2 linked regions of the Caenorhabditis elegans genome follow. The protein of the gene in region 2 interacts with the protein of the main gene of each other region in a pairwise test. Each region holds a gene or a part of one and is shown on either strand. Other genes may lie near its edges.

Region 1 (6,726 bases), on a different chromosome or scaffold from region 2:
AACCCCTCTGTAGAATAAAAATCTATGTCACATTCCATTTGGAAAAATCAAAAAAAAAAAAAACTAAATGTAATTTTAAAATTGTGGAGTATTTAATACACAGGTATTCAAACTGTTTGATTAAATAATCATTAAACTAGAAATTTTTAAAAATATTATTTTTGGGTACGGCTACTTTATGAGCTCGCCCGTAGTCATAAAAGGTAGATAACTAAACATATTCGTTTTTTCAAAATTTAACATTGACAGATTTCATTTCGATTTCATTTGAAACTTTGCTCTTCCGTATTCATTGTATTTTCGTAATTGGAAATCAAACGGCTGTCAAAAGCGTGGCTGTCTTCGGCACCTGAACACGAGTTTTCTTGAATGAGTCTATCAAATTTAAACTTTGCGTCTAACAGCAATTAATTATTAATGATTTTTCCAAACACCCCACTGCAAAGTACAGGGAAAATTTTTTATCAGTTTCACTCTTTTTTTTTGCAATTGTTTTTCAATAGCTTTTCCGTGGTGTGAAAATTACCGCCTTTTCATGTTTCCCAATGTGTTTAAGGAATGGAAGAGGTATGGCGTGATCAGTCATTGATAATTTCAACTTGGCATTTATCAGTGTGTGGACATTGTCCCCGCTGGTATATGTACGTAGGTCGCAAGTGCATCACGCCTCTTCTCTTTTCTTGACAGGGCTCGCTGAGCACAATAGACTCCAACCGTGCAATTGTTTCAGCGTTTTAGGTTTTACTAGGTCAAAGTCTGGCTGTTTCCAAAATAAAATATATTTCAAAGTCAGCTTCACCCGTCGATTTCTCGCTTTCGTTTTTTTTTATCGAACTGTCACGTTTTCGTGTAGGTTTTTGCACAATTATTGAATTTTGCGCTCAAAAAATTTGAAATTTCAATTTAGGTATATTTATCAACATTTCCCAAGTGATAACAATTGTTGTCTAGCCCTACTAGCTTATTTTGCAGTATTATTTCCTATAATATATTTTTTAAAGCATATCATATTTTCCCAAATGTTGCGACACTTGAAAGACATAATACGCCATCCGCTTTCGCTGATTTGTAAATTTTGTACATGGCTGTCTATCAATTCCTGCATTAGGCTCTTATTCTCGTTTTTCTTGGTGCGTATTGATAGCGATAAAACGGCTGATAGTCGAGTGATACCCCTTCTTTACTTTTTTTGTTGGCTCTTCATCTATTCGCCCATCTCCACAAGTTTTTTTTTCAAATAGATATTTTGCATGTATTGTGAACTGTCAAATTAATAACAGATTTTTAAAAAAAATTCTTGTATCCTGTCACGTGTATAACATCCTGTCATTTTTAAAGGAGGTGTAATGGCTGTGGTTATTTTGGTATAGTCCTACGATATGCTGAAATACAGGAATTTTATAATGAAAGTTCTCAAAAAATTTTCAAAAATTTTTTATGGCGGTTCAAAATTTCAAAAAAAATTAAAGGCTCAATTTCAGCTAAAATCTCCAGTTTTGGCAACTTTTCCGTGCCGCAGCAGCTTGAAAATGACTTTTTTGAATTATCGTCTTTTATTGCTTATTTCGGTTGTTGGGCTCCTGTTTGTTGTAGGATAAAGTAGATTTTAAGCCGATAGGTAACCAAAAATTACAAAAGATCCGCATTAAAAAATTTAAAAAATTAAACAATTTTTTTTGAGCAATTTTATTACAAATTTTGTTCACTTTAGCACATTACAAATCTATAGGTTCAAAATATCCAGAAACCGTTGATCCTTCTTCAATTTGAAAGGCAAATTTTATTATTTAAAACCCAAGTTTTAGGTAACAAAAACGCATGGCTTTTTCTGTAAGAGACGTCTATGCAGGCAGCTCCGTGCTGCTCACGGGAGGTACTGGGTTTTTGGGAAAGGTGATTGTTGAGAAGTTGTTATGGACTATTGATGACATTCAAAACATCTATTTGATGATAAGAACAAGAAAAGGGAAGAATCCGCAAGAAAGATTGTCAGGTCTTCTTCATGTAAGTATTTTGATTATATTTGGAATTTTATTTAATAGTTTTTAGGATCCCCTTTTCAATCGCATTCGCCAAGAGAAACCAGAAGCATTTGACAAATTGAAAGCAATCGGTGGAGATATGATGGTGGAAAATCTAGGAATGGATCCTGAAGATGTGATGCTCATCCGAGACAATGTGAGGGAGTACAATTCTCAATTTTTCCAACTTTTTAATATTCAGGTCAACGTAGTGATCCATAGCGCGGCGACTGTCAAGTTCGACGAGCATCTAAGAGCAGCAGTCACCATGAATGTCATTGGAACCAAACGAATCATTGATCTCTGTCATCAAATCAAAGATCTCAAAGTAACAGAGAAAACAACGTGTCTCAGAAAAATTGTATTTTTAAGGTATTGGTGCATGTGTCAACTGCATATGCAAACTGCGACAGGTTTGAAACAACGGAAAAAGTGAGCGTGAAAAATTGAACATTGTAGAATATCAACTAAATTTCTGGAAATTTACAGATTTACAAGTCACCAATGGCTCCACAAAAACTTGTGGACGCTCTTTCGTGGATGGATGACGAAACATTGACTAAAGTAAGTTTTGATATTAGGTGGTGGCAATTAGACCTTGGTCAAAATGTATGACTTTTTGTGGCATATCGATTTTTCTGAAAAAAAGTTTGGCGACTCCAGGTATCCTAACTCGGAGCCACATTTTTTAGGCTTCACCCAGATTCGTGTATTTTAAACTTTTGTTTGAAATTTATGTGCGGATTTTGCTTAATTTAATATACCGTATATTCTCTATTAGAGCGGCGTATCTAATAGTACGGCGTATCTATTAGAGCGGCACTCTAACTGGCTCTTCGAAAATTAGAGCGGCAGTCTCTATTAGTGCGGCACCCCTTTTTTTGGGTGCAAGAGCCACATCAATTATTCGATTTCTTCGAAGATATTTTTGTTCATTCTTGAATGAATTTATAAATTTTCATTTAAATATTGAATTTTAGTGTCTTTGTGAGGCAAAATTACCCAATTTTCATGAATTTTTCCATAAAATATGAGGTTTTATAAAGAAATTTTGAGGTTACTACTCCCAAAAGTAGTAACTTCAATATGAAAATTAGTTATCGAAAATTAGTGCGGCAGTATCCAGTAGAACGGCAGTCTCTAATAGAGCGCACGTCACGAAGGGCCGGGAAATTAGTGCGGCATGCCGCTCTAATAGAGAATAGAGAATACACGGTACAAGGAAAGAGGACAGATTTGTCGAAAAATGTATTCGAAAAATAGATTAAAAAATAGACAAAGCAATTTTTTTAACTTTTTTAAAACTAATTTTTTTTTCGATTTTTATTGTTATACAATCACATTATACACTAAATCGAGCGAGAGCCGCGCATAAATCTAAAAATAAAGTTTCAAAAAACCAAGATCGAGTGGAAGCCTAAAAAAGCGGCTCCGAGCTAGAATACCTGGAGTCGACATATTTATTTGAAAGTACCGTCACATCACAGGTAATGTGGTTGATACCATAAATTCCCAGATTTTCAGAAATATCGATGCGGAACAAAAAAAACTCATTGCCACCCCTACTTTATTTTGATATTCATAGAAAAAAAGGAGATTAATTGAAAAATGTTGAAAGTGTAAAAATTCAACAACAAAATTCAGAAATCCTATTTAAAATGAAAATAATTCTTTTTGCGTTATTGATATTACCAAAGTTACCCGATATTTAACATTTTCAGATTACACCTAAAATACTTGGCCTCCGTCCAAACACCTACACTCTGACCAAAGCTTTAGCAGAGTCCACAATCGAAACCGAAGCAAAGGATATTCCAGTCATTATCATTCGTCCTTCGATTGTAGGAGCAATGTGGCAAGGACCGCTTCCAGGATGGACTGACAATATCAATGGGCCGACTGGAATCTTTGCTGCTGTAGGAAGAGGTGTTTTGACAAACATGTGTGGGAGCAGTGAATCAAAAGCTGATATTATTCCCGTTGATATTGTGGCTAACATGATAATTGCGTCAGCTTCATATAGAACATCGATCAAGTGAGAATAGTTTTAAACAAACTGTGAATTGTTTAAAATTTTGTTTTTTGTTTCAGCACGACAGAAATTCCTGTGATCCACTGTTCATCTGGTGAATTGAACCCTCTCTATTGGGGTCATATTGTTTTATTTTTGGAGCAATTCTACAAAAAGGTTAGTCAGAGTTTTATATAATAATATCTCCATTAAAGGAGGAGTACTGGTTATAAGTATTTAGCTTAAATAGACTTAAACTGGTTCAAAACGTCTTCATAATGAGACTTCACAAAAAAATTTCCAAAAATTTTTATGGCGGGTAAATAATAATAATATCAAAATAGAACCAAATTTTGCTAAAATATAAAAATTCGCAGATTTCTTTCATTAGATGAACTACCAAAATATGCATTAAAGGAGGACTAACGGTTTGGACGATTTTGAAAAAAAAAAAGGCCCAAAATAGACGGCAAACATTTTTTAAACGGCATTCAAGCTACTACCACGTAGAAAAGTTAACGAAATTTTAGAATTTAGCAAAATTAGTCTTTTTTTTCCAACATTTTGAGCCTTCATAAAACTATTTGTCAAAAATTTTTTTTGAGAAATCTCATTTTGAAATTTGGTCAATTTTGGCCAGTTTTAGTCAATTTTAACTAAATACCCACAAACTCTACTCCCCTTTTAAATAGTACTCTAATGTTTTTTTTAAATATATTTTCAGTATCCCATGGAGCAATGCTTCGCAGTTCCATCCACATATTTCCACAAATCACGTTCACTATTCCTTATAAACTATTATATCAAGCATCATATACCTGCTGCCATCTCAGATATTTCTGCTCGTCTTATAGGAAAGCGAAAAAAGTAAGTCATAAACGACGGAGAACAAGACCTACATAAATTTCTTATCAGCAATGTGAAGCTGTATTCGAAAGTGTGGAAAATGATTGAAACTCTACACTTTTTCACGACTCGCGGATGGAGTTTCAATGCACGTGGACTGCCAGAATTCTTTGAGAAAATGACACCCGCAGATCAAAAGGAGTACAACTTTGATGTTCGCCAAGTGGATTGGAACTCGTATTTATTCGATTATGTAATGGGTATCAAGAAGTTCCTTTTGAAAGAAAATCTGGAGAATCTTAACAGATCGAGAGCACATCTTTTGAAGTCAGTGATATTATTCAATATTGAAAAGTTATGCTGAATAATATTATTTCAGAATGCGCATTCGACGCCAAGTAATTGCAGCAATAGTTTACGCAGGATTTATCTCTACAATTGGAAGAAAATGGAAGAAGACTACTCAATATCTGACATGGTTCGGTGCTATGTTGGCAACATATACATACACTGAAGTCAGTTTCAGACGGCATATTCCTCTGAAATCATTGAAAGATTACACACAAACGTCGGATTATTCTCGGTATCTTCAAAAAAGCTAGAATCTTTTCAATGACGTCATTCAAATTTATTTTTCTTTTTTTTTGTGTGATTTTTTTATCTTTAAAAATTGATAGGATCAGAATCAAAAATCAGACATACAATCGTTATATTGTTTCAAAATATCAAGGTCGATAGTGTGTCTGTTGATTGTGATACGCACTCTCTCATCAACAATAACTTTTTTTCATTGTTATTCTCCGCTTAAAGGAGGAGTAACGGTTCTGGGTGTTTTGAACGAATAAATAAAATATATGACACTTCTCGTATTTTTTCCAAAAATTTTTTATGGCGGTTCAAAATTTTGACTCAAATTTAGCGAAAATCTCTAATTTTGGCCTGAAATTAAACTTTTGAATTAACGAAAAATGTGACACGGAATAGAAGCCAAACATTTTTTATGGAAATTTTGAAGCACGATAAAAAATATTTAAAACATTTTTGAACTCATTGCGGAATTTGTTCAAGGAGCACATTTTGGGTATATACGTTTCAAAAAAAAAACCCATAACCGTTACTCCTCTTTTAAAATTTACACATGCCTATTTCCGACAACGCTTTATATCTTTTTTTTTAATACTGCAATTTTTTTCACCAAATCTTCCATCTTCAATCACCTCCAAGTTTGTTTTCTACTTGTTATGAGCGAAAGACCAGTTTTTTTCTCGTTATTCATTTTATGTTTGACAATAAATAATGGTCAGTTCCACTTTAAATATTTATTTTTCCTATCAGTTTTGTTTCATGGCTAACCACAATCACAGTGGAGACTAGTAAACATTCGCAAATAGAAAAAAAAAACAACATCGGTGGCTCTTCTCGTTTTCTCGTCAATGGTTAGTAGGAAAAGATGAGAGTACTTTTGCTCGATGTGAGTGCGTGATATTTTAAAATGCGTGTTATTTTTAGAATTCATATCTTTTGATGAAATTATGAAAAGGAAAATGTACTAAGTTCGACGAATTCGGCAAATTTGCCGTGCTTAACAAACTCCGAAAAATTTGATGTTTTTGGAGAACCAATACTACTGAATTCTTAACACACATTGTGTCATTTTACAAAATTTTTGGGCAAATAATCAATAATTTTGGTCAAAATAGTATTGCCCAACTTTTGATGTGTGCTGCAAATTTCGAAGTTTGCCGAGTTCGGCAAATTCGGCAAATTTTTTTTCGGCAAACATGGCGAGCGCGGCAAACGGCAAATTCGGCAAATTTTTTCTCGGCAAACGGCAAATTCGGCAAATTT
Region 2 (2,795 bases):
CACCATGATTTGAACATTAATTGATATATTTTAGACTGCGTTTCTTGTTCGTGACACTCTGCAAGAAATGTCTCGCATTAATGAAAATCAGTTGCTCTGGCTCAAAATTCTGGATAAAACTGATCTAATGTGTCTTATTCTGTTTCAAGTTGCCAATGTTGTAATAACAATTGTATATTGGAAATAAAAATCAAAAATAACTTTCAATAAATTTATATTTACCCGTTTAAAAAATTTGATCAATTCATAGGGATAGATAGTCCTAGTGGCAAAAATTGGGTACTTGTTTGACAGTAAATTAAAAAATATTTAAAACGTCTCTAAAGCACCCTCAAAACAAATGATCGGTTTTAGTGAAGAATAATTTATATTAACAACTTTCCTGCGCGAGAACATGGAATGTTTGGACTTTTTTAGAGTATTGTTTTCTGCGGGGTTGACAAATTTTCAAGAGTCCCTAGGCCTTCTACAGTGCCGGCCATAATTCTATCCAATTTTAGTTTTTTGACAATAACTTGTTTCAAAGTGATTCGTTTGAGTTGAAAATTCACTATAATATGAAAATGATCAAAACATAACTATTACTGCAAGAATTATAAAAAAAGCAAAATTTAAAAAAATTTCGGGGAATTTTCAAAAATTCGAAAAAGTGAAAATTATCTAAATTCTGAAAATAGGTTCTTTGTGAACTGGATCGGTTTTATCTGTCTACGAAACTGTCATTAAACTAGTAAATGAATCTTTGTGAATTTATTTTTGGCAATTAAAACTTAGGTGTCACGTGACAACAGACCATAAGCTTACCTGCAACTTGCAAGTGCTTGAAAATGGAAGAGTCTTTCTATTTTCAGTCATTGTGGCTATGAAATCAGTCTCATTCATTTTTAAATTAGGTTTTCTACATTGTTCAAGACTATTCTATTGATTTTGTATAATGTTTCTATCTATCTCGCTGGATATAAGCATCGCAGAGACACTCAGTGCTTACCAAGTATGTCAATTTTTGTCTTTGCCGCCTTGGTAAAGCTACCCTAACCCCCTTTTTTTCTAATGTGTGCAAAAAGTCAAGCAGTCAGAGTGAGGGATGGTAAAGCTATCGCACCTGCAGCAAACTAACTTCAAAATAAATTATGGTTTTATAAATTAGGGTAAATTAGGTTTTGGTTTTCTCAAATGTTTTTTTTCCGCAAACGTTATTGGATTTGGCCTATATATATTCTCCAGGCCAACTAGAAAGCATTCAGCTGGCTAAAAACACGCGGTTATCGGTATATTCATAATTGAACAAGGCTTCCCTCAAGTGACTAAAAAAGCTTGTTTAATTACATGAAACGGATGAACTAGAAATTCTTTAATTTCTTTTTCGATGACCGTGATGTTTTACTTTATTTCAAAAATAATTCCAAAAAACATCCAGAAACTTTTTTATAAAGGTTGTTTTTTCTCCGCTTCAACCTCGACCTTTCTTTATCTCCACGGTCAATCTGCCCTAGATCCGTCCGTATAAAAGATCGGAAAATGTGTAATTCAAATCAGTCTCTGCTCGAATCACCGATTCTCTACTCACTCGACTACTTCTCTGCAATGGATCAAATCCCACCGTACGAGTTCAATAAGTACGTGCTCTACGCTCGTGGTGCCGTCATCGTGTGTGCTTCATTTGAGGTTCGTTCTGTGCCGTTCGTGGTCCTCGGAGGACTGGTCCTGGTTTTTAAGGGCTGGCCTCTAAAGACTTGTCCTGGCTCTTGGTCTTTTGCCCGTTTTCCAGAATGTATAGAACATCATGAAATATTTGCAGCTCCTGATGGTTCTGTTCGGTTCCCTCGGCGATTGCAATTTCCTTGCCAAGCTATTCTACTTCATCTTCCTCGGTGGAGCAGTTGCCGTCTCATCGCACAACATTGCTCTCAACATTGATGGTCGCGAGGAGATCAACAAGGTTCTTACCTCGTCTGACAATGAAGTTCGTGGAAAGTCTGCCGCATTGGTTCTTGTCCCAGCTCTTGCTGGTATCTTCGTCTTCTTGTGTGTTTCTGGGCATGCATTCTTCTCACTTTTCGTGCTCATCCACGTGCTCGCCGCTGTTGGACAACTCGGAATTGAAGCTTATGAGTTCAAGAAGGGACAATCTGGAGCTCCAGCACAAGACCCAGCCGCCACTGCACCACCAGCCCAGGATCCAGTTGCAGCTCCACCAGCACAGTAGAAAGAATACTTGGGGGTTTTTGAAATAAAAGTTTTTACTTGCTCTTTTTGATCAGGAATGTAATCTGCAAATTCTGCTAGACTCGGTCGCCAAAAAACCTGGAAAAACTAAGTGCTCTTTTCTACTGTAGTTTCAGAAGAGTGAGCATCTTGTTGTAAGAGTAATATTTTGTTGTGGTTAGTCCGAAGAGAGGCTTCTGTGATTACTTAAAAACTATCGTAACTATCAACTTTTTGAGCAAATACTGGGTTATTGGAGTACTTTAGTATGATTGCTGTTCGTTTCGCTGGGTTATTTCAAGGATTCTCGCAAACTGGAATAATTCAAACACTTTCTAAATGCTCAATAATCTTTATTATTAGTTCCAACTCCAACAAGAGAAACATTCATTTTCTTCCCCATCCAAGTGGAGTCGGTGGACGATAGATGGTATGTCTTGCATTTGCAGATGGGATGAAATTGAATGAACTTGGCTGAGGAGCTCTTCTAGCTGGGTTGAACAGTGATGGTAGAATTTGATTAGTTGGAATGAATTGCTGTAAAGTATTATACGTTTCTTTTGCTTGAAAGTTTGAAATCAGCCTACCGC

The links. The genes of interacting proteins can lie anywhere in the genome.
Region 1: the proteins of F17E9.5 (region 2) and fard-1 interact in a two-hybrid assay, tested with the Caenorhabditis elegans proteins (one large-scale study listed by BioGRID).

The regions. Positions count from the first base shown.
Region 1 is NC_003284.9:2,931,556-2,938,281, forward strand, and holds fard-1 (Fatty acyl-CoA reductase), read left to right. Parts: upstream 1-1,805; 5' UTR 1,806-1,818; coding exon 1,819-2,004; intron 2,005-2,049; coding exon 2,050-2,178; intron 2,179-2,223; coding exon 2,224-2,349; intron 2,350-2,393; coding exon 2,394-2,453; intron 2,454-2,510; coding exon 2,511-2,585; intron 2,586-3,742; coding exon 3,743-4,056; intron 4,057-4,112; coding exon 4,113-4,209; intron 4,210-4,756; coding exon 4,757-4,899; intron 4,900-4,947; coding exon 4,948-5,205; intron 5,206-5,257; coding exon 5,258-5,480; 3' UTR 5,481-6,187; downstream 6,188-6,726.
Region 2 is NC_003282.8:8,344,299-8,347,093, forward strand, and holds F17E9.5 (DUF7087 domain-containing protein), read left to right. Parts: upstream 1-1,519; 5' UTR 1,520-1,584; coding exon 1,585-1,665; intron 1,666-1,798; coding exon 1,799-2,206; 3' UTR 2,207-2,248; downstream 2,249-2,795. Other genes in the region: lgc-5 (Neurotransmitter-gated ion-channel ligand-binding domain-containing protein), read left to right, coding at 35-187; F17E9.18 (Neuropeptide-Like Protein), read right to left, coding at 2,593-2,742, 2,793-2,795.